Linked DNA regions of Oryctolagus cuniculus. The protein of the gene in region 1 interacts with the protein of each later gene in a biochemical or structural test. Links are inferred from orthologs where the notes say so. Each region holds a gene or a part of one and is shown in the gene's direction. Other genes may lie near its edges.

Evidence for each region. The genes of interacting proteins can lie anywhere in the genome.
Region 2: of the proteins of ITCH (region 1) and NFE2, one has a biochemical effect on the other in vitro, tested with the Homo sapiens proteins (2 studies listed by BioGRID, with this or other methods). The link is inferred for Oryctolagus cuniculus from reciprocal best matches to the Homo sapiens genes ITCH and NFE2.
Region 3: the proteins of ITCH (region 1) and SPART form a complex in vitro, tested with the Homo sapiens proteins (2 studies listed by BioGRID). The link is inferred for Oryctolagus cuniculus from reciprocal best matches to the Homo sapiens genes ITCH and SPART.

The regions. Positions count from the first base shown.
Region 1 is NC_091442.1:23,706,860-23,716,521, reverse strand, and holds the start of ITCH (E3 ubiquitin-protein ligase Itchy homolog), read left to right. Parts: upstream 1-4,441; 5' UTR 4,442-4,573; exon of another isoform or gene 4,574-5,154; intron 5,155-5,221; exon of another isoform or gene 5,222-5,410; intron 5,411-9,414; 5' UTR 9,415-9,491; intron 9,492-9,662. UniProt on the Homo sapiens protein: Acts as an Acts as an E3 ubiquitin-protein ligase which accepts ubiquitin from an E2 ubiquitin-conjugating enzyme in the form of a thioester and then directly transfers the ubiquitin to targeted substrates.
Region 2 is NC_091442.1:57,225,072-57,234,735, reverse strand, and holds NFE2 (transcription factor NF-E2 45 kDa subunit), read left to right. Parts: upstream 1-5,150; 5' UTR 5,151-6,148; coding exon 6,149-6,220; exon of another isoform or gene 6,221-6,260; intron 6,261-6,460; coding exon 6,461-6,634; intron 6,635-7,719; coding exon 7,720-8,727; 3' UTR 8,728-8,965; downstream 8,966-9,664. UniProt on the Homo sapiens protein: Component of the NF-E2 complex essential for regulating erythroid and megakaryocytic maturation and differentiation. Binds to the hypersensitive site 2 (HS2) of the beta-globin control region (LCR).
Region 3 is NC_091440.1:77,753,062-77,762,470, forward strand, and holds the start of SPART (spartin), read left to right. Parts: upstream 1-4,895; 5' UTR 4,896-5,079; intron 5,080-5,249; exon of another isoform or gene 5,250-5,995; intron 5,996-9,409. UniProt on the Homo sapiens protein: Lipophagy receptor that plays an important role in lipid droplet (LD) turnover in motor neurons.

The DNA.
Region 1 (9,662 bases):
AAAAGGAAGAATCCCTCCAGGCAATTCTTATGTACCCTTAAATTTGAGAATTTTTGATTTGTAATAGAAAGAGATGCATTTTTACAACAAAATGAGTATATATTTACAGCACAGTGTTGTGGTAAGGGTTAAGCTGCCATTTGCAATGCCAATATCCTAATATCAGAGTGACATTCTGATATTCTTGCTACTCTGCCTCTGGTCTAGCTCCCTGTTAATGCACCTGGGAAAGCAGTGGAAGATGGCCTAAGTGCTTGGGCCCCTGCACCTGTGTGAAAGACCTGGATGGAGTTCCTGGTTCTTGGCTTTGGCCTGACCCATCCCTTGGCCATTGCAGCCATCTAAGAACTGAACCAGCAGATGGATCATGGCGCTCTCTCTCGCTCTCTCTCTCTCTCTCTCTCTGATACTCTGCCTTTTAAAGAAATAAATCTTTTATTTAAAACAACCTTTTTTTTTTTTTTGACAGGCAGAGTGGACAGTGAGAGAGAGAGAGACAGAAAGGTCTTCCTTTGCCGTTGGTTCACCCCCCAATGGCCGCTGCGGCCGGCACACTGCACTGATCCAAAGCCAGGAGCCAGGTGCTTCCTCCTGGTCTCCCATGCAGGTGTAGGGCCAAAGCACTTGGGCCAATCTCCACTTCCCTCCCAGGCCACAGCAGAGAGCTGGACTGGAAGAGGGGCAACCAGGACAGAATCTGGCGCCCTGACCGGGACTAGAACTTGGTGTGCCGGCACCGCAAGGCAGAGGATTAGCCTATTGAGCCACAGCGCCGGCCATAAAACAAACATTTTAAAATAAATTTTTAAAAAAGATTTATTTATTCTAAAGGCTTAGTTTATCTATCTTTTTGTTTGTTTGTTTGTTTGTTTATTTATTAGAGAAAGGTCTTCCTTCCATTGGTTCACTCCCCAAATGGCTGCTACAGCTGGTGCTGTGCTGATCCAAAGCCTCTTCCTGGTCTCCCATGCATGTGCAGGGACCCAAGGACTTGGGCCATCCTCTGCTGCCCTCCTGGGCCACAGCAGAGAGCTGGACTGGAAGAGGAGCAACCGGGACTAGGACTTGGCACCCATATGGGATACCAGCACCGCAGGCGGAGGATTAACCGAATGAGCCACAGTGCCAGCCCCTATCTCTCTCTCTCTCTCCATCCATCCATCCATCCATCCATCCATCAATCCATCCATCCATCCATCCATCTATAGAGAGAGGTCTTTCATCCGCTGGTTCATTCCCCAGATGGCTGCAACGGCCAGAGCTGGGCCAGGCTGAAGCTAGGAGCCAGGAGCTCCATCCAGGTCTCTCTTGGTTAGCAGAAGCCCAAGCACTTGGGTCATCTTCTGCTGCTTTTCCCAGGCCATTTTCAGGGAGCTGGATTGGAAGTGAAGCAGTTGAGACATGAACCAGCACCCATATGGGATGCCAGCATCGTAGGTAGCAGCTTTACCCACTATGCCACAATAGCAGCCCCTTAAACTTTTATCATTGTACAGTACAGAGAAAAATACACAGATCCTAGGGTTACAGCTGGATGAATTTTCACACAATGGCTTGTGTGCCAGCACCTAGATCAAGGCACAGATCATTATCACTGCCCTGAGAAGTACCTTTGTGCCTCTTTCCAGATACACCTCCCCTGAAAAGATAACCACTATTCTGACTTCTAATGTTATAGATTTGTTTTGCCTAATATTATATAGTTTTAAAGTTATAGATGGGGGCCAGTGCCATGGCACAGTGGGTTAAGCTGCCCTCTGCAGTACAGGCATCCTTCATGGCCACCGGTTCAAGTCCCGGCTGCTGCACTTCCGATCCAGATCCCTACTTATGGCCTGGGAAAGCATGGAAGATTGCCCTAGTCCTTGGGCACCTGCACCCATGTGGGAGACCCTAAGGAAGCTCCTGGCTCTTGGCTTCAGAATGGTCCAGCCCTGGCTACTGCAGCCATTTGGGAAGTGAATCAGTGGATGGATGCTCTCTCTATGTCTGTCTCCTCTCTCTCTCTCTGTAACTCTTGACTTTCAAATAAATAAATAAATCTTTTCAAAAAATTCTAGATCAAGACTAAATCTGCATCCAGAGAGAGTATTTGGCTAGGTTCCTGGCTGAGTGCTCCTGACCAGTCATTTACTTTCCTTCAGACTCAATTTTCTTCTCTGTATAATGGTCATGATAATACTTCATACCTTAAAGGGTTGTTACATTTCCCAAACTTTTCTAGTGACAAGAATGCCTTGGAGCTCTGGTTAAAAAAACCAGATTCCCCTACAGCATAACCCTTAATAGGACAAACATAGTTGTGTTGTGAAGAAATACTTTTACTTTTTTTGTGTGTACAAAGCATAAACACACAGTATATAAATAGATACATATTATATTGTGCCATTAAACTTTCATGGATGGGGCTGGCGCTGTGGCATAGAGGGTAAAGCCACTGCCTGCAGTGCCGGCATCCCATAAGGGCGCCAGTTCGAGACCCAGTTGCTCCACTTTGGATTCTGCTCTCTGCTATGGCCTGGGAAAGCAGTAGAAGATGGTCTAAGTGCTTGGGCCCCTGCACCCACGTGGGAGACCCAAAAGAAGCTCCTGGCTTCTGGCTTCAGATCCGCCCAGTTCTGGCCATTGCGGCCATTTGGGGAGTGAACCAGCAGATGGGAGACTTCTTCCTCTGCCTCTCTGTAACTCTGTCTTTCAAATAAATGAATAAATCTTAAAAAAAAAAAAAAACTTTCATGGATGGGATAACTGGAGGAATATGTCTAAAAATGCTCTTTAGAGAGAGAACTTTTTAAAAAAATATTGGTAAACACTGCCCTAGAGCAGTGATTCTCCCAATGTGGAGATCTTGGTTAAAAATGCAAATTCTTGGGGCTGGTGCAGTGGCATAGTAGATTTTAAGCCTTCATCTGTGTTGCTGGCATCCCATATGGGCACTGGTTCAAGTCCTGGCTGCTCCAGTTCTGGTCCAGCTCTCTGCTATGGCCTGGAGAAGCAGTGGAAGATGGCCCAAGTGCTTGGGCCCCTGCACCCATGCGGGAGAGCCAGAAGAAGCTCCTGGTTCCTGGCTTTGGATCTGCCCAGCTCCAGCCGTGGCAGCCATGTGGGGAGTGAACCAGCAGATTGAACATCTTTCTCTTTGCCTCTCAAAAAGAAAAAAAAAAATAAGATTTTCCAAAAACTTTGTTATGAGAAAAAGCTGCCAAAAATTATATTAAAAATGCAAATTCTCAGGCCCTACCGCAGACCTATGGAATCAGAAGCAGACAGGGCCCCCAGGGATCTGTGGTTTAAACACAGAACCACCTGCAGGTGGTTGAGTCCTGACTGCAAGACTCCCTGCTCTAGAGAATCTGAGTGGGGTAGGTCCTTGGAATCTGTTTTTAACAAGCTGTCCAAAGGGGGTAATGCGGAACCACAGTGGTTTTGAAAGTACTTTGAAAAGTGTGACTTTCCAGATGGTAAAACAGTATTTTCATTAGGAGGAAACAGGCTAAATAATAATAGCAAAGGTCACTAATTACGGAGCGCTTCCTTGTGCCTGAGTCACTACTTGCACGGCCTATTACTTCTCACAAACAACTGTGCAGGACTTGGGCGGAGGGATGGGAAGGCAGACTGCCCAGGTTCTTATCCGGTATGTGACTGTGAGGCCAGGTGACAACGGTCCTTCTCTCATTGATGTGTTGTGAGCAGGAAGGGAGCTGGGTGCTCACTCCTAGAGAACACCAACCACGCGGGCGCCTCACCACGCCCATCATCCCCAAGCCTCCCTGTTAAAGGCTGGAGGAGGAGGATTTGAGTCCACTCAGTGTCTGTTTTTAGGGACTAAGCTGGGGGCCACCTCTGCAGCGCAGTGGGTTAAGCCACTACTTGGGATGCCCACAGACATGCCATATAACAGTGCCTGGGATCCAGTCCCACCTCCGGCTCGCTCCCAATCCAGCTTCCTGCCAAAGCATCCCGGGAGGCAGGGGAGGATGACCCAGGTGCTTGGGTCTCTGCCACCCACGTGGGAGACACAGAGGGATTTCCAGGCTGCTGGCTTCGGCCCGGCCATTTAGGTGTAAACCAGCAGATGGAATCTCTCTGTCTCTCCCTCTCGCTGTCACTCTGCCTTTCAAATAAAAACAAAAAAAGAAATGCAAATGATCAGACTCTGTCCTAAATCTACTGAAATTCTGGGGGCGGGAGCTCAGCAGTGTAAGTTTTAAAAAGCCCCTCAGGCGATTCTATGCACACTGCAGTTTGGCAACTCCAGCTACAGTCTTCAGAGGTTCTGGTGGGCGGGGTGCTAAGAACAAAAAAGGAAAAAGAAAGCGGAGCTGGGAGCCACTGGAGTCCTCACCTGGGCTGGGAAGAACTCCACTTAGCAGCTCTCACCAGCCCCCAGCTCTCCCGGCCCGGCAGCTGGCTGGCGCGCAAGGCCTGCTGGGGCTTGTAGTCCGGGCCGCTCCCGAGTGGAGGCGCCTGCGCATTGGCCGCTAACTCGCTTTAGTCGCTGTGGTCGGGGCTCGGGACCGGCTGCCATCTTAGTCGAGGGACTGAGGAGTCGCCGCCGCCCCGAGTCCCGGTAAACACCCGCGGGCTGACTGGGGGCGGTTCTGGGAGGAGGGGGAAGCCTGGGTGAGAATGACCTGAGAGAACGAGGGGTCGAGGAGTGCGGCGCCCGAGCCAGGACCGCCCCAGCGGCTGCGGCTGCTCCTGCCCTCCTAGCCGGTGTTCGTGGGGGGCGCGGGGAGCACGGGCCAGTGGCCGGGGCCGGGCGAGGGCTCGGATCGGCCAGACACACCGCAGGGCCGGCGCCTGCCGAGTTGCCCCGACCCCCTCGTCTCGTGGGCTCTCAAGTTGTGAGCGGGATGGGCCGCGGCGGACGTGGGCAGGGTCCATCCCCGCGCCCCTCCGCCGCTCCCGGGGGCCACTCTCCCGAGGCCCGGCCTACGCGCGGGGCCGGGCGGCCGCGGGCTACGTGGCCCTGTGAGGGGCGGCGGCCAGGCCCACCTGCCTCTGGTCTGGCCCTCCCGGGACTTTGCCGAGCCTTTGGTCTCCAGGAGGGCCCAGCCCGGCGGCTGCCTCCTCTGGTCTCCTCCACTCCCCTCCTCCCTCCATTGTCCCCCCGCGTGGTGGTCCCGGGCCGGGCGCCCTCCCCGGCGCCCGCCGCCACCGCCGCCGCGGCGCCGACTTGTGCAGACGTGGAGCTGTCACTGCCCTTGGTCCGAAGAGTGCCCTTTTCTTTAGCAGAGAAGAAAGTAGCTGTGAATGTGTTCTAAGGGCCGAAACGTGAGGAAGACGAGACTTTGAAGCGGTGAACTCAAGTTTGGAGACTCCGTTCGGGCCGCGACTTTGGAGAAACGGGATTTGTGCTCCCGAGGTCATCGTCGGGCCTAAAGTTAGTCAGAGAAGTAACGAGGTGAACTTGCGAAGTATCCGAAATTCTCCTTTCCCCCAGAACAACTCAGCGGGTTTTGTGGTTATATTAGTATCCTAGTCTTGTTACATTTTCTGCCGTTCTAACACCGCTGTAGTATACTTGCTTTGGATGGGGGGTGGGGAAGGAAGAGTGGGGTTTTTCTTTGAAAATTATTGAGCCTTTTTTTGGAGCCAGCCTCCTGTGGTCGGACTTAGGTGGATCGCCCTGCATCTGTTCCTAATATAATTCGACTTTAAGGAAATAGGTAAAGGCAGTGTTATTTCCACCGGCAGAATCGGCGAAGGACTTGCTGCTTCTCTGAAAGTTATCATGGCAGATCTGGTGAGAGCCTGCACGGTGTATTGACATGTTTACTCAAGGTGCAATGACTTCATTTTTCGGATTTAAAAATGAAAGTGGAAATTCTGCTTTTTAGAACAGTGGGTATAAGTCCAAAAGGACTTCATCTTCAGCGTGCGGGTCAAGGCAGCAGTGATAATGTGAGAATGAAAAAAAAAAAAAGAGTGCACAGAACTTCACTGTAGTCCAAAGTAAATAATTTCTACAGTCTTTTAAAAAACACATCTTTACACCTATTGCAAGAGAAAGGCAAACCAGCGGTCTCCAAATATGACCATTAGGGTAATGTTTTTTTTAAAAGTAGACATCCAGCTTCTTCCGTCTGAGATTGATTTAATAGATCTGGGTTGGCTTCCGTTTGTTTTCAGAACATGCCTCAGGTGATTCTAATGGGCCTGGGAACTACTGAGGTAAACAGTATTGTGGACATACCAAGGACAGCTCAAGAAACTTTTGAGACTGAGAGACGAGGAAGTGGTTAGTTCTGACTAGGGGTTGGCCAGAGGAGGAATCTAGACCTGCCCTTAGACCTGTGTTGGATCTTAGGTGATGAGCAGTTACATGACAAAGGTGAGGAAGAGGGGTAGAGAGAGGGAACATCTCAACCCTATGTGATGGCTGGAAGAAGGGTTCCGGGAGCGGGCAGAGAGTGGGATAGGGAAGGAGAGCTTTATGAGATGTGAAGAATGAAAGGTAAAAAGAAGCAGCTATGTGAAATGTTCTAAATATAATGCTGGAAATTTTGAATTTTGTTGTCGCTGGAAACATGCTGATTCTTACACAGGGATGAGAGGTGAGCGCCTGCGTTTTAGAAAGATTGCTCTGATACCAGAGAAAGGTTGGAAGAGTGGCTGTTGCAGAAGTCTAGGTGAGAAGTGACAAAGCCTGATGTTGCGGGAGAGACAGCTGGGATGGGTAAGGGATTGGATTCAGCTTTTTACTAGTGTGGTTTGTTCCTGTATTTTTGGATGAGGATTTTGGCAGGGAAGCAAGTCTGTGTAACAGGCTGCTTTTCTCTCAAAGGAACCCATTAGTGAGTCTGAATAGCATTGCCAGGTTATTTACGTTACTAGTATTAGAGTGAATTACTCACAAGCATATAAGAAATTAGAACCATGTCAGGTGCGATTTAGAAGATAACTTGACTGAAATTGACTGTCAACACAGGTGATTCAGGCTTGTTGGAGGTGTTTTTTGACAGTCTACCGAAATTTAATACTCAATTTTTAGAGTTGGAGATATTATGTACTCGATTTTGGCAAATAAATTTTGGTTTATAGGCCAACTTGAATTGAAGTAGCTGTCAGAGGAATTGTGTTTAGAAGGATTCTGGTTGCGTGGATTCTCTGGAAATGTGTTATGTTTAACTAGTGTTGCCTCCAGCTGATGGTTACCTAGTGGGTTACAAGGAGTCTTCATTAAGTTTATGGAAAAGCTATGAATCGATTCAAAATATGTTGCACCAAAATTATCTTTCAATTTTATTTTTCACAGACTGTGTAGTACCCTTCTTTATATGTGCCACGTATTTTTTTTTTAAAGATTTATTTTTTTATTTGAAAGGCAGAGTTAAAGCGAGAGAGATCCTCCATCTGCTGGTTCACTCCCCAAAAGTCTACAATCACCTGAGCTGGGCCAGCCAGGAGCCTCATTCAGGTCTCCTACATGAGTGCTGGGACCCAAGCACTCTGCTGTTGCCTTCCCGGGCACACCAGCAGGGAGCTGGATGGGAAATGTTGTAGGCGGCATGTGGGTACAGGGGCCCAGACACTTGAGCCATCTTCCGCTACCTTCCCAGGCACGTTAGCAGGGAACTGAATAGGAAGTAGAACAGCTGAGACTCAAATCAATGGCCATGTATGACGCTGACATCACAGGCAGCATCTTAACCTGCTGTACCACAGCAGCCATCACAAGGTATTCCCAGACTAGTCCAACCTATTAGTTTTCTGTTTGGTTTTAAAATTATTTAATTACAAATTTTTAAAGATGTATTTATTTGGGCCGGCACTGTGACTCACTTGGTCAATACTCCACCTGCGGTGCCAGCATCCCATATGGGCACCGGGTTCCAGTCCCGGTTGCTCCTCTTCCAGTCTGGCTCTCTCTTGTGGCCCAGAAAGGCAGTGGAGGATGGCCCAGGTGCTTGGGCCCCTGCACCCGCATAGGGGACCAGGAGGAAGCACCTGGCTCCTGGCTTCAGATCGGCGTAGCTCCGGCCATGGCAGCCATTTGGGGGGTAAACCAACAGAAGGAAGACCTTTCTCTCTGTCTCTCTCACTGTCTAACTATATCTGTCAAATAAATAAAAAAAGATTTATTTATTTGAAAGGCAGAGTTACAGAGAGAGCGCGCGCATAAGTACAAATGCGATCAATTTTCTATCTGTTGGTTCACTCCCCAAAGGGCTGCAACAGCCAGGGCTGGGCCAGACTAAAGCTAGGAGCTTCAAACTCCATTCTGGTCTCCCACATACTGCTTTTCCAGGTGCATTAGCAGGGAGCTGGATCAGAAGTGGAGCAGCCAGGACTTGAACTGGCACCCATATGGGATGCTGGTGTCACAGGTGGCAGCGCAGCCTGCTGTGCCACAGCTCTGGCCTCTGATTGTTTTTGAATTTTTATTTTTTTTAAAGGTCAAATAATTTATCTGAAACTAGTTAAGAGTCAGAGCTAGGACTAGAACCAGGTTTTGCAGTGCTCAGTCTGGTATTCTAAAGAGCTTTTGGTGTAAGACCAGGAAAAAAAAAATGAGGTATTTTCAGCTTATTCCTCTTGACTGTTTAGACAAGAGTTTAACAAGGAACTTTGGCCCAGAAACAAGTTTGTTCTGTTCATTCTGGCTGAAAAAACTTGTGTTAGTACTGGTGGGAAATAGTCACCTGTTTGATTCCCTCCATTCCCCCTCCTACCAACTCCCTACTTTTCTTTTTCCTCACCACTTCTGATTTTGGATATTGGAGATTGATTTTCTCTACATAAGTTGAATCAAAAGCATGCAAGTTTTTTTCCCCCTGTATTTATAGTTCTTAGCCAAATTCTGCGCTTATAATAAGCAGTCAGTAAAGGCATGTGGATTTTTCGTGGCTGTAAATGATACTGGCTTTGAGACAATATGAATTAGTAAAGGGTTTCACAGAATTGATTTGTAGCATTCTCTGATTGGGAGGTTAGCCCTCAGCTAAAACTGTTAGGTTGGAAACTATCCTCACCTCAAGGAGTAGTTAACCCTGCTATTCCTGCCCCTGTCTGCCTCTAGTCTAGTAGTGCACTTCCATGTAAAACTGCTGTCCCCTCAACTCTTTTTGCTTTTTTTCAGAACTGGCTGTGGTCAGATCCTTGGAGTGCTTTTTCTTTTCCTGTCCCTAGAGAATTCCCCATTACGGGAATCATCCTTACCGTGACCCTTATATGTTTATGTTGTGATTTTCATTTGGCCACATGTCCTTTGTACCTAAGTTGATGTCATCCTGTTCTGTGTATGAATCATTCCCCCCACCTCACGCTCTACCTACCTGCTCCATCAAACATTATCTCCTGAAGAATTTTTTAAAAGCCTTTGTGCTGTGTGAGTCCCAAGATCATTGCAAATATGGTGTGTTTAATCATAGAAATAATGTTAATGGACTCTCCCTACCCTTTTAGGTAACATGCCTTTCACAGTGGCCTTCTGGAGACAACGCCTTAACCAAAAGAAGTGATTTGAACTGTGAGAACTTCAGGTATGGCGACATTCCTACAAGAAAGATTTGGGGGCAGGAGTGATGCAGAGGACAAACCCTGGTCTCATATAACTACTGTGGGGAGATGTGGGGTGAGAGAGCATTGTTGGTGCTGGTTATGTCAGTTTATTGAAGAAATAGGCATTTTCCAAAAGCCTCTTCTACAAAGAT
Region 2 (9,664 bases), about 34 Mb from region 1:
GAGGGGGAGAGAGAGCCCGTCCTGCCCCCTGAGGGCTGGCAGGGGTGTTGTGCGGGCAGGACACAGCCTAGGTGGGGGTTAGGTGGGGGACACTTCCACCTGACCAGAGCCTGAGAGAAGGCTGTGTGCTCACTTAGCTCACTCTATGCCACCCTGGCTGTCCCCACAAGTAACTAGTAGAGGACTTGCAACACTTGTAGGTGTTCCTGCTGCTCACGGGATCGGATGGAGTTCGATCTTCCTAGCTTGACTTCCAGGACCCCTTAGGATCTCGTGCCAGCCACATTTTCCAAGCTTAGCTCCTAACTGCTTCTCACTCCCTGTCCTGCCCTGGTAAAGCCAAAGCTGGACTCTGAGTTGTGCGTCTCCATGTCTTTACCCGTTGGCTCACAATAGTCTTTTCCCACTTCTCTGTCTGGGGCATTTCCAGCTCACTCCTCCAGGAAGCCTCCGCTGATTTCCACCAGGGGGGATGTATTTCCTCTTCTGCTCTACACCACTTCATAGAGACCTGTATCCAGGTGATTTCCCACTGTGAGTGAGGATACGGACTGTCTCATTCATCTTTATCTTCCTGGAATGCAAGACGGAGCAAGGCTCCACTGACACCTGTCGAATGCGTACGCTGGGTCTGCAGACCTGAACTGGTGCTCCCCACACCCCTAGCCCAGGAAGCCATGATGCTCCGTGCAAGATCTGTGAGAGTGGGAGGCGAGCTGATGACCTCAACGCACGCTCCAAGTGGGTTCAGAATCTACGGGTGACCTGGGCGTGAGTCTGGGCCGCAGTCTTGGCATTCGGACACAGCGCACATATTCAGGTCCCTCTGAGGGAACAAGAGGTGGTGACAGTCACTTTTTTTTTTTTTAAGATGTATTTATTTATTTGAAAGTCAGAGTTACACAGAGAGAGGAGAGGCAGAGAGAGAGAGAGGTCTTCCATCCGATGGTTCACTCCCCAATTGGCCGCAACAGCCGGAGCTGTGCCAATCTGAAGCCAGGAGCTTCTTCCCAGTCTCCCATGTGGGTGCAGGGCCCCAAGGACCTGGTCCATCTTTCACTGCTCTCCCAGGCCACAGCAGAGAGCTGGATCAGAAGTAGAGCAGCCCGGTCTCGAACTGGCGCCCATATGGGATGCCAGAGCTTCAGGCCAGGGTGTTAACCCACTGCGACACAGCGTCGGCCCCGGTGACAGTCACTCTTGCGGCTGATTGTTCAGTGACACCAGGTTACAGAGAGTCCACGAGCACTTGCTGGAATTCAGCGCAGTGAACCGTGGGTTTCACGTGGATGTGGATTATTCCCAGCCCACGCCAGCTGCACAGGAGGCCCCTCATGCTTGCGGCACTGCCTCCTTACTTGTTGTGCTGTGCTGTCGGGGTGGGGGGTGTCTTAGGGAAGAACTGGGATGGTGGGTGCTGGGGGCACACAGAGCACCTACAGCACCTGTTCTTTATCAATGAGGAGCATTCTTCCTCAACGCTGAACACCATCCTATCAGAGACTGCTCGCTGGGCGTCAGCACTGCCTTGGGGTGGCACCTGTCCACTTCCCCAGTCTTAATGTTTCCAATGATCTCAAAACCCCAGGAGAAGAAAGAAACAGAGAAAAAGTGCCAGCTGCAGACAAAAGGATCGCAGCCGGACAGGCAAAGAACTTTCAGAGCTGAAAGTCACCGAAAGCTAAGAGGAAGGATAACTCCTTTCTCCCGGTCTCCCGTGGGAGATCTGTTTGCCCTGGGGCTTGGAGGCCACAGGGTGACTGGGCAAGCTCAAGGGGTCTGTGTTGGCCTCACAGAGAGCTGCCATGGGGGCTGGGAGTTGGACCTGACATCCTACACACACGTGTCCTGGTGTGTCCAGGGTCCCAAGGTGCCTAGGCTGGAAGAAAGGAGGACAGAGGACACCCGGGGGTCCCTTTTCAGAGAGGTGAATAATCTCCCTGCCGGGCAGCCCCCCACCCACCTCTGCTCTCTCTCACACAGAGGAAAAGCCAGGCCAAGAAAGAGGCTTTTGTGCTAGGATATCTGAGGCTGAGGGGGAGGGGAGGCTGCAGGTGACAGGGTACATCAAAGCAGCCTGCCCCTCCTCTCCAAATCCCCCTGCCCATTCCCGGAGCCAGGCTTTCCTTAACTGAAGGCTTTGACCTAAACGCCCACCCACCCAACCAGCTGCAGCGAGACGGCTATCCTCCCTTCGACAGTCCTCCACCTCGCCGTGACCCCGTCTCCAGGACCCCGAGAGCTGGCTTTGGGGGCAGAGGACAGACACAACCTGCATAGAGTTTACAGGTCACTTTGGAGAGGTCCTGCAGGTTGGAACGCATCATGCGCGCAGAAGAAACGCAGCCCTGGCCGGGCTCCTGGGCAGCCAAAGAGGCCGGGAGAGGCTTGGAGCCCTGTGTGCCCCCGCTGGCTGGGAGCAAGGTGGGGGCGGGCTGTGGGCAGAAACCACACTGGGCTCAAGTTTCCTCTCTTGGCCAGAAGGGGCAGAAGGAGAGGAGGGCCACGGGGAAAGGGGAGGGTTGGAGGAAGGACTGAGAACTCGGGAGGCCAGGGCTCCAGACCGAGAGCGAGCCCGTGCGCCTGCCTCCGGGTTCACTGCTCTCAGCACAGCCTGAGCCTCCAGGCTCAGAGCTCGGCCATGGCCGGGGGGCGGGACAAAGCCCTTGCGGGAGCTTAGAGGTACAGAGATCCTGGCCCAGGAGGTGTCAGCTCAGACCCAGCCTGCCCAGAGACGCCAGTTGGAACCTCAACTCTCTCCTTACCCAGCTTGCTCGCTCGTGCACGCTTGGACTCTGCCACAGGTGCCGGAAGGCAGGGTGGGCGCGGGTGTGTGTGTGTGTGGGGGGGGGGGTTCCTGTGAGATCCTGGGGCAGGCTGGGGAGGGGGAGGCCAAGGAGTGAGGGAGACAGCAGCAACTTTCCATAGGTTCCCAGGAGACCTCAGACCTCCCCACACTGCCCTAGGTTAGGAATTGGCACCTGGGAGAACTCCCCTGGGAGAAGACCTGCATAGCTTCCTGAGTGCCCTGGGATCCTTGGGGTGGGAGGCAGTGGATGGGGACCGGTGGTCGCCTGAGGGCTGCCCTGAGCGGGCAACAGACTTCCAGGTACATGATACCGTCCTCCCCCTGGCCCATTGCATTCTTCTCGGTCCAGCCAGCTGTGGAGGTTTGGGGGAAGCTAAACAATTGAGGACTTCTGAGAAGTGGCATGACTGGGTAGGGGGTGCTGGGTTCCAGCTTCCCCTTGCCCCTTCTCTGCACAGGAGAGATCAGCTAGACCTGGAAGGGACAGGAAGGCGGGCGAACCCCACCAGAGCTCCTGGTGGCCTGAGAGCCAGGGGGCAGAGGAGCATCCTCTGCTGGGACTCTCCACGCAATGTCCCAACAGACTGGAGCTTGGGGTCAAGGGGTGGAGTGCGGGATGCCAGGAGCTGGTCCCCTCTCCCTGTTCTCCCTCTCTCTCTCACACACACACACCGCTCAGTCCTCTTTGTCCCCAGAGGACGGAGACCCCCATGATCAAAGCTCTCTTCCCTTTCCCTGAGGTCTGCCTCTCCTTCTTTGAGGGTTCTCCCTAGTCTTTCTAAGGGGGCTGCTCCCCCACCGTGCCACATCCCAAGTTTTGTGGCTCCCTTCCCATCCCTACTGCCTCTAGGGATGCCTGGACAGGTGGGGTGGTCTGAGCAAGCCCCCTCCCTCGTCATTCCTGCTCGTCAAGGAAGTTAGGGGCCCTGGGACAGTGGTGGAGGCCCAGAGTCATCCTCTCCCCGCGCCACCCTCCTCGCTCTGTACCCCCAAACATAAGACTCTGCACAATTCTGCGAGTATTTAGGGCTTGTGAGAACAATCTCTCTGGAGAGGACCATCAGGATGAGAGTGAGGAGGATGGATTTTAGCCCCTAAAGATGGCTCCAGTCCTACCTGGTCCACAGTATTGGGAACTAAGAGGAGGAGCAGCCAACCAACTCAGTGGGAGTGGGAATAAGGGGACTGACCCCCCAAATGCAGGCGAAACTGTAAGGTGGGAGATGCTCATTGCTAAGGAAGGGGGGCACAGGGAAGCCCACCCGTCTTTCCCAGGGTGGCCCCTGTGGGGTTCCAGCTGAGCCAGTTCTGACTATGCTGCCTCCCTGACCTGTCCCTCTGAGGGATAGCCTCCTGGGGCCCAGTGGTGGTCTCTATCTGATATACAGATCCTCTCCAGCCGGCCCTTGAGCGTCTGGGAGAAGCCTCCCACTCCCCCTGGAGCCTGCTGCAAACTGCTGGTTGGAGCTGATTCTGGGGTTGTCCTTAAACTCCCTCTGCCCCAGCCTCCCAGCTGCCCTCGCTTCCCTTCTGAGCCCCAGGTCTTCCCGAGAGGGAGCGGATTCCTCGGCTCAGAGACAGGACAGGGCTGCCTGGCTCAAGGTTCAAAGCTAGAAGTCTAAGGATCACCTACTGGGCTCCTCTGGCGCCTGGGAATTCGGTTCCGAGGTCTGGGGAGCCTCTCGAGTCTGTGTGTTCGCATGGCCCCGGGTTGATGCAGTGCACGATACATGTGTGACTTCTGAGACAGACACAGCACCACGGCCTCTCACGGCAGTGGGGTTCTCTAGTTCGCTATTTAAGGGAGGAGACAGAATTTGGCCTTTGGAAGCGATTTGCTTGAGGAATGGAGAATCCGGTTCCCTGCCTCCCGGGGCAGGCTCTGTATACAGCACCTGGGTGTCAGATCCGGGAAGACAGAAGGGGGATGGGGTGCTTAAGGAACTATGAGGCAAGAGTGGATGTCCCTGCCCCCAAAACCCCTTCTCCATTCACTTTGCCTTTGGGCAATTTCCGCCAGAACCTGGGTGGGGGAGGGTGGGGTTCCGGTGTTGAAATGGCCTCCTGGACAGACATAAACACCCCACCCACCGTGCCTGCTGGCTGAAGGAGGACCTGTACCTCCACCAACTCCCAGTTGCAAGCAGAGAGAGGCACAGGCTAGGAGAGATCCTCTTTCGAAAGGGTCATCTGTAGTCGTTCCCCCCCCCCCGACCCCCGGCCCCGGCTTTGTGGTCCAGCCAAAGAATGGGCTCCGTGTGAAACAGCTGTGGCGGGCCAGCCTTGCGGCGGGTGGTCAGGGGTCCGGCTATCTAAGGTCATCCAGGGCTACCCTCTGCACTCTGCGGGCTTCCTTCATCCCCAGCCTGCTTCCCATCCTTGCATGGTGCTGCGTGCACGTGCGCTGAGATCAGGAGGCCCTGGACAAAACTCTGCGGCCTCTTGTTCTGCTTGTTGAAGACAAGGACAGATGTGGGCAGTGATGGGTGTCAGGAGCTGGGGAGCTGGGATGAGAAGAGGGACTGACGCACAGACAGATCTGCGCAGGAGTGAAGCGCACGCCGCCCCTGCAGGAAGGACCTCCGAGATCAGGTTGTCTAACTCTGCTTTCACAAAGAGGAAACAGGCCCAGAAGCGACATGGCCTGCCCAACCTCCCGCTGCCGCTGCTGGAGCCCAAAACAGAAGCAGCGGCGCTGGAGGGGAGTGCACACTGAGGGGTCTAAAGGGAAACTGCCCAGGAGAGGGAAGAGGCTGCAAGTCCGCGGGGAGAAGTGACCACGTCAGTGCCAGCAGAGGCTTGGGATACGCAGACCCAGGACAGGGCTGGCAGGTGCCGGCGAGGCCAGGAGGGTCGTGTTCCAGGCCTCATGCTGCTGTGGGTCTTGGCTTCTGAACCCACTCTACAGGACCTTTGTGAAAGTCACTCTCCTGACCGATGCTCACAGAGGCCCTGCACAACCCCCTGAAAAGCACTTAGTAATTCATTGTTAGGGTGCTTACGCTAACCTCGCAAGAGGAAAGACCCCTGGCTTTAAGGGTTGAGGTATGGCCAAGATGACCCTGTGGGGACACAAGGCCAAGGTCCAGTGTCTGCAGAGTCCACTCCTCCTCTGCCCCTGCTGCCTGCAGCTGATAAGCCTCTTATCTGGCCCAGGCAGGGGAGGGCAGGGCTGCTATCAGCACCCAGGCCTGGGCCACATGCTGGAGAAAGCTGTCTGTGTGGCTCTTCCCATAACACACTCCTTGGGGGATCCCCCAAGCGTGCACTCTCATCCTGGGAAGAAAAGGCTGAGATCTTGAAGCTGAAGACGGACGAGGAAAGCAGGGGTGGCCCCTGATGTTGCCCCAGACTTCCAACCCAAACCAAAAAGACTGCCCTGGCCAGGAGTACATTTCTAGGGCGGAAGAGGTAAGGGAGAGAGAGAGAAGGCATCCTGTCCGAAGACCAGGTAAAGTCCTACTGTGCTCCCACATGAGCTGAGCGGCCTGAGTAGGTGAGCGGGCGGTCTCACACCCCACTTGCTTTGAGCTCTAAGGGGCTGAGGAGCTCAGGATGGGCGAGGGCTCTCTTGCTTCAAGGCCACTGGGGGAAGGAGAGACTCGCTGAGCCCAGCAGGAGCGGTTCTCACACCTTTCTCCTTTGGCGCAGGTTGCTGGGGTCGTTCGGGCTTTGGGGGAACCTGGACCAGACAGACCCTGGCCCAGTAGGATGCCCCCGTGTTCCCCCCAGCAGAGCAGGAACAAGTTGACACAGCTGCCCACTCCAGAGCTGGGCGAGATGGAACTGACTTGGCAAGAGATCATGTCCATCACCGAACTGCAGGTGAGCGGGGTGGGGGGGCGGGGCGGGGAGCCTGGCCTGCACTGGATGGAGGCAGCAGGTGGGAGCAAGCGGGGCCCAGGCTGGAAGTGTTCCAGGCTGGGAAAGAGAGGGCTGGACTATGTGGGAGATGTGGATGGGAGACTCTGGGGAGTCTGGGGGAACCTGGGGAGTGTGCATTAGCGGGGACAGGAGTGCTGGGGAGCGGAGGGGAGGGTCTGAGGGGCGAGGGCAAAGCTCACTCAGCAGCCATGCTGCTCACGGCTCCACGCTGCCTCTGGCTCTGTCCTCCCTCCCTCTTCTCCAGTCCTGCCATCTCCTCCTCCCTGCTCTTAGCAACCGAGACCTCCCCCCAGGTAGCAGGGCAGCAGTTCAGGGGCCTCGGAAGGGAAGGGGAGTCCAGCCATGCTGGGGTCCTCTCCCCCTGCTCCCTGGACAAAGGGGTGTCTGTTGGCCTAACAATGAGGCCTTTGTCCCCAGCTGGGTTGGAGCAGGGTGGCTCCCCTATGTGGGTTGGGGGCCCTGTCTGCAGCACGTTCTCTCCTCCTCGCTGCACCTGGGCAGGGACAGAGGGACACAGGAGGAGAGGGCCGAGCTCCTGCCAGTTCCCCAAAGTGCTTCTCGGCCCCTGGCCCCAGCTCTGCGCCCGCCCTCTTTCCCTCCCCTGCCTCGGGGCCTGACGGACGCCCTTAGGATCTGCCCTGGGCCCTCCTTCCAGGTAGCAGCTCCCCCTGCTGGGCACCCAGGGCATGGCTGGGGCCTGGACTTGACCCTTTGACCCCAGATAACTGCAGCAGGAAAGGGTCATCTTGGCTACCAACGCCTTGCCTTCTCCCTGAAGGAAAGAAAGGCTCCTGGGCCATTCGAACCCCGGGAGCTGTTCCAGCATTAGGTAGACTGTTCTGAATCTGACCTCGCTGTCCTTCTTGCTCTCCCCGCATTGCTAACACAGCTCTGCAGGAAGCCTCGTCGGTTTTCGGCATTTCTCTCTGTTCTCTTGCTACTGGCCTTTTCCGAGGGGCCCAGCTTTGTCCTGAGTTTTCACTTCCTCAGCCTCCCTCCCAACCTCTTTATGTCTTTCCTTGCAGGGCCTAAACGCTCCAAGTGAGCCATCGTTTGAGCCCCAAGCCCCAGCCCCTTTCTCTGGACCCCTGCCCCCACCAGCTTACTGCCCCTGCTCCGTCCCCCCGGATGCTGGCTTCCCCCTGCCCCCACCACCTTATGAGCTCCCAGCACCCACATCCCACGTCCCAGACGCCCCCTACCCCTACAACAACATGGCCGGTCCAGTCTCCAAGCCACTGACCCTCTCAGGCCTGCTCAACGAGCCTCTCCCAGACCCCTTAGCCCTCCTGGACATTGGGTTGCCTGCAGGGCCGCCCAAGCCCCAAGAAGACCCAGAATCCGACTCGGGATTATCCCTCAACTACAGCGACGCCGAGTCTCTCGAGCTGGAGGGGACAGAGGCCGGCCGGCGGCGCGGCGAGTACTTGGAGATGTACCCAGTGGAGTACCCCTACTCACTCGTGCCCAGCGCCTTGGTCCACCCCAGCTACACCTTGCCACCCGCCGAGGCCCCCTTGGCCCTAGAGCCCTCGTCAGGCCCTGTGCGGGCCAAGCCGAGCGCACGCGGGGAGGCCGGGAGTCGGGATGAGCGCCGGGCCCTGGCCATGAAGATCCCGTTCCCTACGGACAAGATCGTCAACCTACCGGTAGACGACTTTAACGAGCTGCTGGCGCGCTACCCGCTGACGGACAGCCAGCTGGCCTTGGTCCGGGACATCCGCCGGCGGGGCAAGAACAAGGTGGCCGCCCAGAACTGTCGCAAGAGAAAGCTGGAGACCATCGTGCAGCTGGAGAGGGAGCTGGAGCAGCTGGGCAGCGAGAGAGAGCGGCTTCTCAGGGCCCGAGGGGAGGCTGACCGGACCCTGGAAGTCATGCGCCAACAGCTCACCGAGCTGTACCGGGACATCTTCCAGCACCTACGGGATGAGTCAGGCAACAGCTACTCCCCAGAAGAGTACGTGCTGCAGCAGGCTGCCGATGGTGCCATCTTCCTGGTGCCCCGAGCGACCAAGGCGGAGGCCACAGACTGAACTGGCTCAGGGTGGAGAGTGGGCTTGGTGATGGGGAGTTCCCTCCCTTCTGATAAAGGGACTCCCCGACCCCAGACCCAGATAAAGCAGACTTATTTAGACCAATGTGGGAACCCTGCTGTTCACTGAGGCTTGCCTTGGGGCAGCTCGTGTGGGGGTTGGGCCAGAACCTTTTTTCCCTGACCTCTCACCTCCAGCCCTGTCCCAGCTTTGGTCTATAAAGCGTTCTGCACAAACAGCCTTCTACTGCGTCTACCTTTGCGATGATGGTGAAGCTGGGCGCTCAGAGCACTACTTGTTGGGGTCCAGGGCTGGGCGGATGCTGCCAGGTTCATTCTCTTTTCCCTCCAGAGCTCGCCTGAGAAGTCAAGAAAACGTGGGCTTCAAGAGGGTGGAGATCCAGCCGTCTAAACTCCTTTAGTCAGGGGCGTGGATCGTCTGAGGAGCTCCCCGCCCCATTTCCTGGGAGCCCCACAAACTGGTGATGCCCTGAGATCTCTTTGGAACACACACACACACACACACACAGCCTTTCATTCTGTCCTGCCCCCACTTCACCTCTCAGCCTGGGTGCTGAAGTGCCAGGGCTCTCAGGAGGCTGGGCGAGCGGTTCTCCACTCGGGAATCTGACCAGACACCACAGCTTTAGAGGTTTCACACCACGGGGCTCCACAGTGGAATCAAACACGTACGTCCTGTAGAACTTCCTCTTCCTGGTTCTATCACAGCCCAGCACCAGTCGCTGCCTTGGGGCCCTCCACTTCTACATCCTCAGATGTGCGTTGTTAGGTGCTCTCCCTGCACCCTTGAAACAGATACAGGGACCTGGAGTTTGGCTCCTTAGGCGCATCACCTAAAATCCAACCAGCCCTCCCTCTACACATCTCCTTGAACTCAAGGGGATCCCGATTTCCCACTTCGGCACATCCACGGCTCC
Region 3 (9,409 bases), on another chromosome or scaffold:
GCCTTAGAAAACAGAGTATTTAATTGGGATGGCACTAAGTCTGATACATGGTGTAGGGCAAGGAGGGTGTGAATGGTGACAATTTTTGTTTGAAGACTTCACCTACCTCTTCCAATTCTGTACTATTGCTCAAGAATGCACTGATTTTAAGGAAGAGCCTGGAAAGAAGAAAAAAAATACATGACACAGAATTTGAAAATTAAATATTCGCTGTTATGTGCAAATAATTATCCCTATTGTTCAATGCTCAGCTGGAAAAGACCAATTCAGATCTCTGGTAAACATGTTCATCTGACCAAGCTGTCACTGATGGAAAGACCATGGAGAATCCTTGGCCATGAGATGCTTTTAGCAGGCTTAAGGGAAATAAACCTGAGATTTAAGGATGTATATGGAATGGGCCACTGGAAAATGTCATAGTCAGTCATATAATTACCTTCTGTATAAAATGGAGAGATCATGACCAAAGTAGTTCCATTTGTGTAAACCATAGCTGGAATACCTTACAGGGAGACCTCACGTGCTGTTTAGAAGCCAGAGTGTTCTAAGAAGACAGGAGAATCTCCGGGGAGCTGGGTTGGTGGTGTTGAGGAGATAAACTAGGGAAGGTGAAGTTATCAAGTTATCAAGCCTCTTCGCCCTTGCCCCTTTATCTCTGTGCTCCCATATCTCTGTCTCTCTCTGTTAACCATTGTCAACTCTGCCATATAATGGTTTGACTCCAGGCCACTATTGACTGTAAACTCATATAAGCCACTGTGGGTGGATGCTCCAACTATTGGTGGATGCAGCTTTTGGTAAACCCAGCTATTGGTAGATATGACTACTAGCGAATGTAGCTGTACGTGGATGTGTGGCTTTGTGTGGATGTAGATGTGCCTCTATGGGATGAATGTGTCTATCTATCATCACAGACACAAAGGCGACTCTCTCCCATGGTCCCACTGCTATCAGAGGGAGTAGCTGTTCCTTGCGCATTTCTCACCGCCACTGTCAGTAAAGGGGATATAAACCCACAAAGAGCTACGAGTTGTTCTCTGACCTGTTGAAATCTGGATCTGCTTGTCCTGGGTCTTAAGCCCCAGGCATCCAATAGTTCCAGACATCTCTCTTATTTTCTTGTGACTTGGTAAAATCACTGCTTCTTGCCAGCCTCATTTGACAGTTTGAGCCTTTGACCTCAGTAAGACAAACTGAGTGTTAAAAATGACTTTTCACATGTTTTCAAGTATGAGATAACTTTCGTCTAATCTTAAATGCCACTTCACCCTAAGCAGATCCAAGTTGTGTGGTGCTTACTGCTCTTAAAATTTGGATGATCTTCTGTAAAAAATGAATACAAAAGTAAGAACAAAAGTGAATCATGAAACTTAAAAATTTCAAAAAAAACCTGATGATACCACAAAATCCAGAAAAATAACATAATACTTTATTTAGGTGCTTGCACATCCCATAATACTTTTTCCTTTTTTGGGCTGTATGCTGTAAAATTTAGGGGAGGTTGTGGATTTGGAAAGGGCACCTGCACTGGACCAACAGATCCAAGTAACATAGATTCTAATTGCAGTGAGTTTTGGTTGGTTGCAGAAGGCCCTGTAGCCAATTAACAAACTAAGCTGTAAACAATTGACTAATTACACTGCAACCAATTGACTAGTTGACTGAATTGTAGCCAGTTAAGTTGCTTTCTATGCTTCACCTCCGTTTTGGTATAAATACTGTCAGATCACATTTTTTAAAAAGGTTTAGTTATTTGAGTCATTGTTATACAGAGAGAGGAGGAGAGGTAGAGAAAGAGAGAAGGGTCTTCCATCCGCTGGTTCACTCCCCAGTTGACCTCAATGGCTTGAGCTGCGCCAATCCGAAGCCAGGAGCCAGGAGCCAGGAGCCAGGAGCTTCTTCTGGGTCTCCCACATAGAAGCGGTGACCCAAGGACTCGGGCCATCTTGTACTGCTTTCCTAGGCCATAGCAGAGAGCTGGATCGGAAGTGGAGCAATCCGGACTCAAACCGGTGCCCATGTGGGATGCTGGCAGTGCAGGCGGTGGCTTTACCTGCTATGCCACAGATCATATTTTTGGTTGGAATTTTCAGACTCTGCTCTGGTTCTACAAGCTGCCTAATTCAAGAATTGTGTTTTGTTTTGCTTTGTTCAAATAAACTCTAATAGATTTAACTTGTTTAAGGAATTGCCTTTTTAACAAAAACCTTTGCTTCTTCATATAAAAATTACTTTGCAATACTCATATATTCCATAGAAAGACAAAATTCAATTTCTTCTCTGTTTATCCAGATTAGCTTTTAAAATATAATTTAGGAATATAGTTCATCTTGATAATTCAATATAAGTGTTTCTAATTGTTGTCAAATTTGGAAGGACTGCTAATAAGTCCTGTTTAGCCTGCATACCAAGTCAGTGGGCTTGGGTTTGAGTCCCTACTCTGCCTCCTGAATATAGCTCCTTGCTAATGCACCAGGTGATGGCTCAGGTGACTGGCTTCCTGCCACCCACACGGGAGATCTGGATTGAGTTCCATGCTTTTGCCTTGGGTCTGGTTCAGCTCCTGCCATTGTGAACATGTGGGGAGTGAACCAGAGGATGGGAGCTCTCTGTGTAAGTATCTCTTAAATAAAAGCAAACAGTTTATGGAAACCTTATATTATGAGAAAACTATGCATGAATTTAAACATTTTTGCACCAAAATAAACATCTTTCAATTCCATTCTCCATGATCTTTTTGAAGTATCTTCATATTTCTGGACTCTTGATTTTATTACATTGATCAAGCACCACACTGATCATTGCATCTTTGTAGTAAGTTTTGAAATTAGAAAGTCTAAGTTATCCAACTTTTTTTTCAAAACTGTTTTTATTCTGGGTCATTCGAGTTTCCCTGAATTTTAGGATCAGTTTGCCAAATTCCATAAAGTCGTTTGGTTTTGACAGGGATTTCATTGGATCTGTTGATCCATTTTAGGAATAGTGCTTTTTATTAATAAGAGTTGGGAAACACTGTTTTTTTTTTTATTTGATAGGTAGAGTTATAGACAGTGAGAGAGAGAGAGAGAGAGAGAGAGAGAGAGAGAAAGATCTTCCTTCTGTTGGTTCACCCCCAAAATGGCCGCTACAGCCAGCACTACACCGATCCGAAGCCAAGAGCCAAAGGAATAGTGTCTTAATATGAAGTCTTTAAACTCATGAACATGGAATGCCTTTCAATTTTTTGGGGCCTTTAAATTCTTTCAGTAATTTTCCATAGTTTTCAGTGTATAAGTCATACAATTATTTTATTAAATTTATCCCTAAGTATTTTATTCCTTTTAAAGATTTATTTTTGGGCCAGCGCGTGGCAAAGCAAGTAAGGCCACCGCCTGCAGTGCCAGCATCCTATATGGGCACCAGTTGGAGTCCCGGCTGCTCCATTTCTGATCCAGCTCTCTGCTATGACCTGGGAAAGCAGTACAAGATGGCCTGCTCCTATGTGGGAGACCCGGAAGAAGCTCCTGGCTCCTGGCTCCGGATCAGTGCAGCTCTGGCCATTGACATCAATTGGAGAGTGAACCAGCGGATGGAAGACCTCTCTCTCTCTCTGCCTCTCCTTCTCTCTGTGTAACTCTTTCAAATAAATAAATAAATAAATATTTTTTAAAAAAAGATTTATTTTATCTGAAAGGCAGTGATGAAGAGAGGGACAGAGAGACCGAGCGAGTGCTTCCATCTTCCGGTTCACTCTCCAAATGCTCACAACAGAGGCTGGGCTAAACCAGGTGCGTGGAACTCAATAGAGGCCGCATACTTGGGTGGCAGGAAGCAAAGCACTTGGGCCACCCTCTGCTGTCTCGCAAGGGCATTAGCCAGAAGCTAGATTGGAAGTACTAATTAGCTGGGATTCAAACCAGGTACTCTACTATGGAATGCAGGAGTGCCAAGCTGTAGCTTAACCCACTGTGCTATACCAGCCCCCCGAATTTTTATTCTTCATAATATTGCAAATGGAATTTTCAGTTTAATTCTTGAAGTATACACTGTGTGTATGATTTTTATATGTTGCTTTGTCTATCTTGCAACCTTAACAAACTCATTAGTTCTGGTAGCTTTGCTTTAACTTCTTTAGTTTTCTATTTATAATGATCTTGTATATGTAGAAACTTCACATTTTTAAAATAGTTTACAGCTTTTGGAAATTCTAAAAATTATATTTAAATTTGTTTACTTATTTTTTAGGTAGAGGAATAGGTAATAAAGAAAATATTTTCAAGAATAAACCCACACACTGCATTGAGATAAAATTTCACAATGTGAAACGGAAATGAGTTGAAGAAAAGGAATACAATTTGCTCCTGCTAAAGAAAAGCTTGCTCATGTATCTTGTACATTATTATGGACATCACATTGTCTAATGAGGGTAAAAATTCATCTGAAACAAGTCACTGCCATCCCTAGACAAGTCACTTAAGCATGTTTAAATACCAGGGCATCGCATACAGATTTATCTAAGGAAGGCTTATTCACAAGTATGAATCTGTCATCACAGCTTTGTACCACTTTTAAAGAACTTTTGAGGAAAAGTAGACAGGATGTTTACTTTTTTCCGTTTAGCATGCCATATTCCTAAATGGTATGGGCAAGACTGGTCCTTTATCCTTTGGAGTCCGAAAGTTAACTTCTTGCGGTACGGATACGGATGTTTAGCGCAAACAAGCAAACTTTGAACCTTGCTGCTGTGGGCAACCTTTTGGAGACTCAGCGCGGTCACAAGGACAAGGTTCCAAGGGGAGGATTAGCCATTGTTCTCCCAGGTGCAAAGTGTTCAGCTCTGTTTCCAGCGGCCGCAGGCCTCGCAGCCTACCACCCCGTCCTAGTCTCTCCCGAGGCCGCGGTGAGCGGGGCAGAGAGAGTGCGCAGGCGCGGGGCGGGCTACACTGCCGCTGGAAACCCCGGCTGGGGTCCCGGCCGAGCCGCTGACTCCGCGAGGTGCTCGCAGGCCTCCCGCGCTCGCTCTTTTCCCCTCCTGGCGGAGTTTCACAGCGACTCCTGGGACTGAAGCTGACTGTCGTCTTCCCACGCGGCAGTTGGAAGGTCAGCGTGGACTGAACCTCGTCTGGGCGGGCTGGTCACAAGTCCGCGGGGAACCGCCGTCCCGTGAGAGCAAGTCTGCGACAGCCCTGCCGCGCGGTTGCGGGGGCTGGCGCGCGCGCGTGACGTGGCGCCGCCGGGGGCGCGCGGCCTGGAACGCTTTGTGAGCCCGCGGCGGGCGCGCGCGCGGGAGGGCAGGGCGCTGGGCACCTCGGGACTGTGGCGGGGCGGAGCGCGGCGCCGCGGCGGCTCGTCCGAGGGAGCGGGTGCTGGGCAGCGGCGGCCGGGCGGGGGACACTCGGGGCGGCGCTGCGGTCTGGAAGGCACAGGTGGGGCGGGGAGTGGCTCGCCCCTGCGCGGCTTCCGGGGCGGGAGGGCGGGCGTGGGTGCCCTGGGCCCGGTGGACTCGCTGTGGGACGGGGAGGGCCGGTCTAGAAGGGCGGAGGAGGCCGGGCCGCTCACCCGGGTCTCCTTTAGGGAAGGGGAGCAATTCCGAGAAAGGATAGTTTGAGAAGTTGTTTCTGTTACTCCCCGTCTCGTACGAGAGGCACCCCCCACCCCTTGCGCCCCAGTTTGCTTTCTGCGTGGAAAGTGCCCCCGCCCCTCCAGGAGCATCCCTGCTCGCCACTCCCCGCTGTTTGTTTTGGCTTTGGAAATTTTTGTGATTGTTCACCCTCCCCCCAGCGCCTAAGGGTCTTTGCAAAAAGTCCCCAGCCTGCTGCAGTTGCTTTTCGCCGTGGAATACGTGTGTTCCTGTCGACTAGGGGGCACAGCTCAGGGGCCGTCGGTCCTGGTTCTGCGTGCGCAGAAAGTTTCTGTGGGAACGCGCATTGCTTCGTGACACGGCATTATTGCGTTTGCTGCAGGCTCGGCCCAGTTTCCGCGCTCAGATTGCAACAGATTTCTCTGGTGGTCTCTGGTAGGTCCCCGAGGTGTGCTTTGTTGTATTGTAATCAGTCAGTTTGCGTTCTAGAGCCTTGTTGCCTCAAAATACTGGCTTGCAATATATTTGCAAATCAGAAGGAGGCGATACAAGAAGGCCCAATTATAAACAGATTTTCTGAATCCTGATTCTTGCTCCTCTACAATAATGCTCTTAATTTGGAGGCTTTGTACCGGGATGACCTGTTCGAAACAGAAGCCCTTGCGTTACCTGGTTTGTGGTTTACTTCTCACCTGTGGCGCATAGTTTCCCTAACAGGTCAAAATGCAGTGGGACTTGGAAGTTGCATCCAGGTTTTAGAAAAAGCCCCCTGACTATCCATCCCTCATTCTCTCCACCTCAGTAGGAGGAGTAGGTTTGATTTTTCTTTCTGAGATACATTGCACAGCGTGGTGAATGTAGCTAATAGTTGAATACTGTATGTTTCAGTACTGATGAGAGTAAACCTCAAATCTGTTCTCATTTCGAAAAATATCAAATATTTGACTTGATGGATAGGTTAGCTTTATTTAATATTAAAATCAAGATCGCTCTGTTTACTGTCAATATAACTTGTCAATTAAGAAATAAAAAGCCCCTTTTTTGGTAAAGGTCCAGATAGGTGGACATTAGAGCAACTTTTGTTGCTAGCTTTAGAGAGGTAAATGCAGTATTATAGGAGACTGCTTATGTTCACCATTAAGCATGATTATTTACCACTTCCAGTGTTTATGAGATTTGAATTAATATGCTAAATATTTTGATTTGGAATTTTACCTTTTTTGTTGAGCTTTTTAAAAAGCATATACACAGAAATATGAGTGGCTCCAAAAAGTTCATGGAGAATGTATGTTATGAAAAACCTACATGGCTTTCAAAAATTTTGCATCAAATAAGGTTGTAATTTAATTTTCCATAAACTTTTCAAACCCCATATTTATGTTTGAAATGTGTTTTTATTAGAACATTTAAAAATCATAACTTAAGGTCATCATTGGTATCTGGTTTTGATTCTGATTTAGATTTAACTATTATACTTTTTTAATACTTCAGGTTGACATTTCAAAATTTTTTTCAGCTTTGAAAATTAAATATTTAAAGTCATTTAATAGTTTTTTAAATCTTTCAAAGATACTTAATCAGCGCTTACCTATGTTTAGAAATATGATAAGCCTTGAATGTATTGCTTAATTTCTTAAGAGCTCTGAAGGTCGAGCTTAGAATTCTTTTTTTTTTTTTTTTTAAAGATTTATTTACCTACTTGAAAGGCAGAGAGAGAAAGATTGATATCTTCAAAGGCAGGAGTCTGGAACTCCATTCAGGTCCCCTATGTAGGTGGCAGAGTCCCAAATACTTGAACTGTCATCCATTCCTTCTCCAGGAGCATTAGCAGGAAGCTGGATCAGAAGCAGAGTAGCTGACACTCCAGCCAGCACTCTGATACTGGATGCTGGCATCCCTAGTGACTAACCTGCTGTGCCACAAGGCCGTCCCATGTAGTATAGAATTCCTTTTCTGAGGGAAGAAGAGGGAATTGGGGTCTATGGAATAGAGAAGGGGTTCCAGTGACACAACAGGACAAAATTCCAGGGAAGGGGAATGTCAGCTTTGATAGAATTCACATAAGGCAAATAAGGAGGGTCTGTAAATGATCATTTGTATAAGGTATTTTCTCAACTGAATATATTCTGTTGATTATCATGAAATTGCTGTGTGATAAGAGTGATTAATAGCTTATTTTTCAGGTTAGGAAGCATAGCTTTTTATCACTAATGCTAGATAACAGTTTCTGCAATGCCTTCATACTTTAGGTTGCTGCTGAAAGTCTTAGGTCCTTTAAATGTTCCTGCCATGATAAGTTCCAATGAGAACATAGGAAAAGCATCTCTGAAATTGCAGTGTCCAGTATAGGTAGCCACTAGACACATGTGGGTATTGAGAACTTGCAATGGAGCTGGTTGGCATTGAGATAAACTTTTTTTAAACAGGACAAATACGATCTTGATTACTGTCTCATCAGTACTGTTTTTATTGATGACATGTGAAAATAATATTTTGGATGTATTTGAATAAAATACTATCATTGGAATTAATTTTACCTGTTTCTCTTTGACTTTTAATGTGGTTATTAGAAAAATGTGTTAATTACATATGTGGCTTGTATTATAATTCTGTTGGACAGCATGGAATTAAAATGTTTACATCATTCACATAGTTTAAAGAACTAAATATTTTTACAAATTTTGTAGTGAAAATCAGAAATTCAGCTATTCTAAACCCTCCCCTATCTCCTAAGACAGCTTGTATCAATTTCCCTATCGAATTCTTTTGGACTTTCTATATCTCTATAAACATTATGCTTTTATTGCTACTTTGTATTTTGTTTTAGGCATTTTCCACTAACATCCTAGTAGGAAAGATGAAGTTCTAACTTGCTCTTTCTTTACCACATGCACACAAAACTTTATTCATTGGTCTTCCCATCTTTTCAATATGATATCATAATTTTATTAATAAGACAGTAAGTAATCAAAACTGAAATATACTGTCTACTGGGATTCCTTTTTATTTCTGCCTCCATATCTTGTTTTTCTTAGAGTTAGTAACTAATAGTCTTAATTTCCCATGCATTTGTCACAAATTAAACCCTGAATCCTCCCACAGTTGTGTATATCATCTTAAAACAAGGAAATACATTGGGTGTTTCATCAATTTTAGTTTCTGGGAGAAATCTATTCTGGAGTTTTATTTCTACTCTGGACAAGTTACATATTTGCCATCTTCAGAACTCTATCATCAGCCTTGAGATTTCTTTCACCAAACATGGTGTCCAGGAAATAGAGGATACAATACCTGAGCAGTCATTTGACTGAGTTTGGAAGTTTTTTGTTTTTACTCAGAATTATGAATTAATTGTGCTATTTGAAATTTTAGTTGCTATGTAGAAATTTCTTACCGCTTATAATTCTCACTTTTTGTATAAGCCGTTTTAGATGGTCCTTTGGAGCCTAGTGTTCTGACTTCATGGCCTGTTACTTGGCAGGTTTTTTTTTATTATTATTTTTTATCCATTTATCTTTAATGGAAATTCATGTTTTCCAGTTAATGAGAAATTCTGTGAATTATTTCTTAAGGTCTTTCATTCTTTTTATATCTGGAAGTTTTATAATTCAGGACCTTGGGTCCTGATTTTCTTACGTGCTCTTTTGTATTTTTTTTTAATTAAATAATTATTTATTTGAAAGAAAGGGAAAGATCTTCCATCCGCTTAGTCACTCCCCAAATGGCCACAGCAAAGCCAGGAACCAGGAGCTTTCTCTGGGTCTCTCAAGTGGGTGCAGGGGCCCAAGCACTTGGGCCATCTTTGACTGCTTTCCTGGGTGTGTTACCAGAGGGGGATCAGAAGTGGAA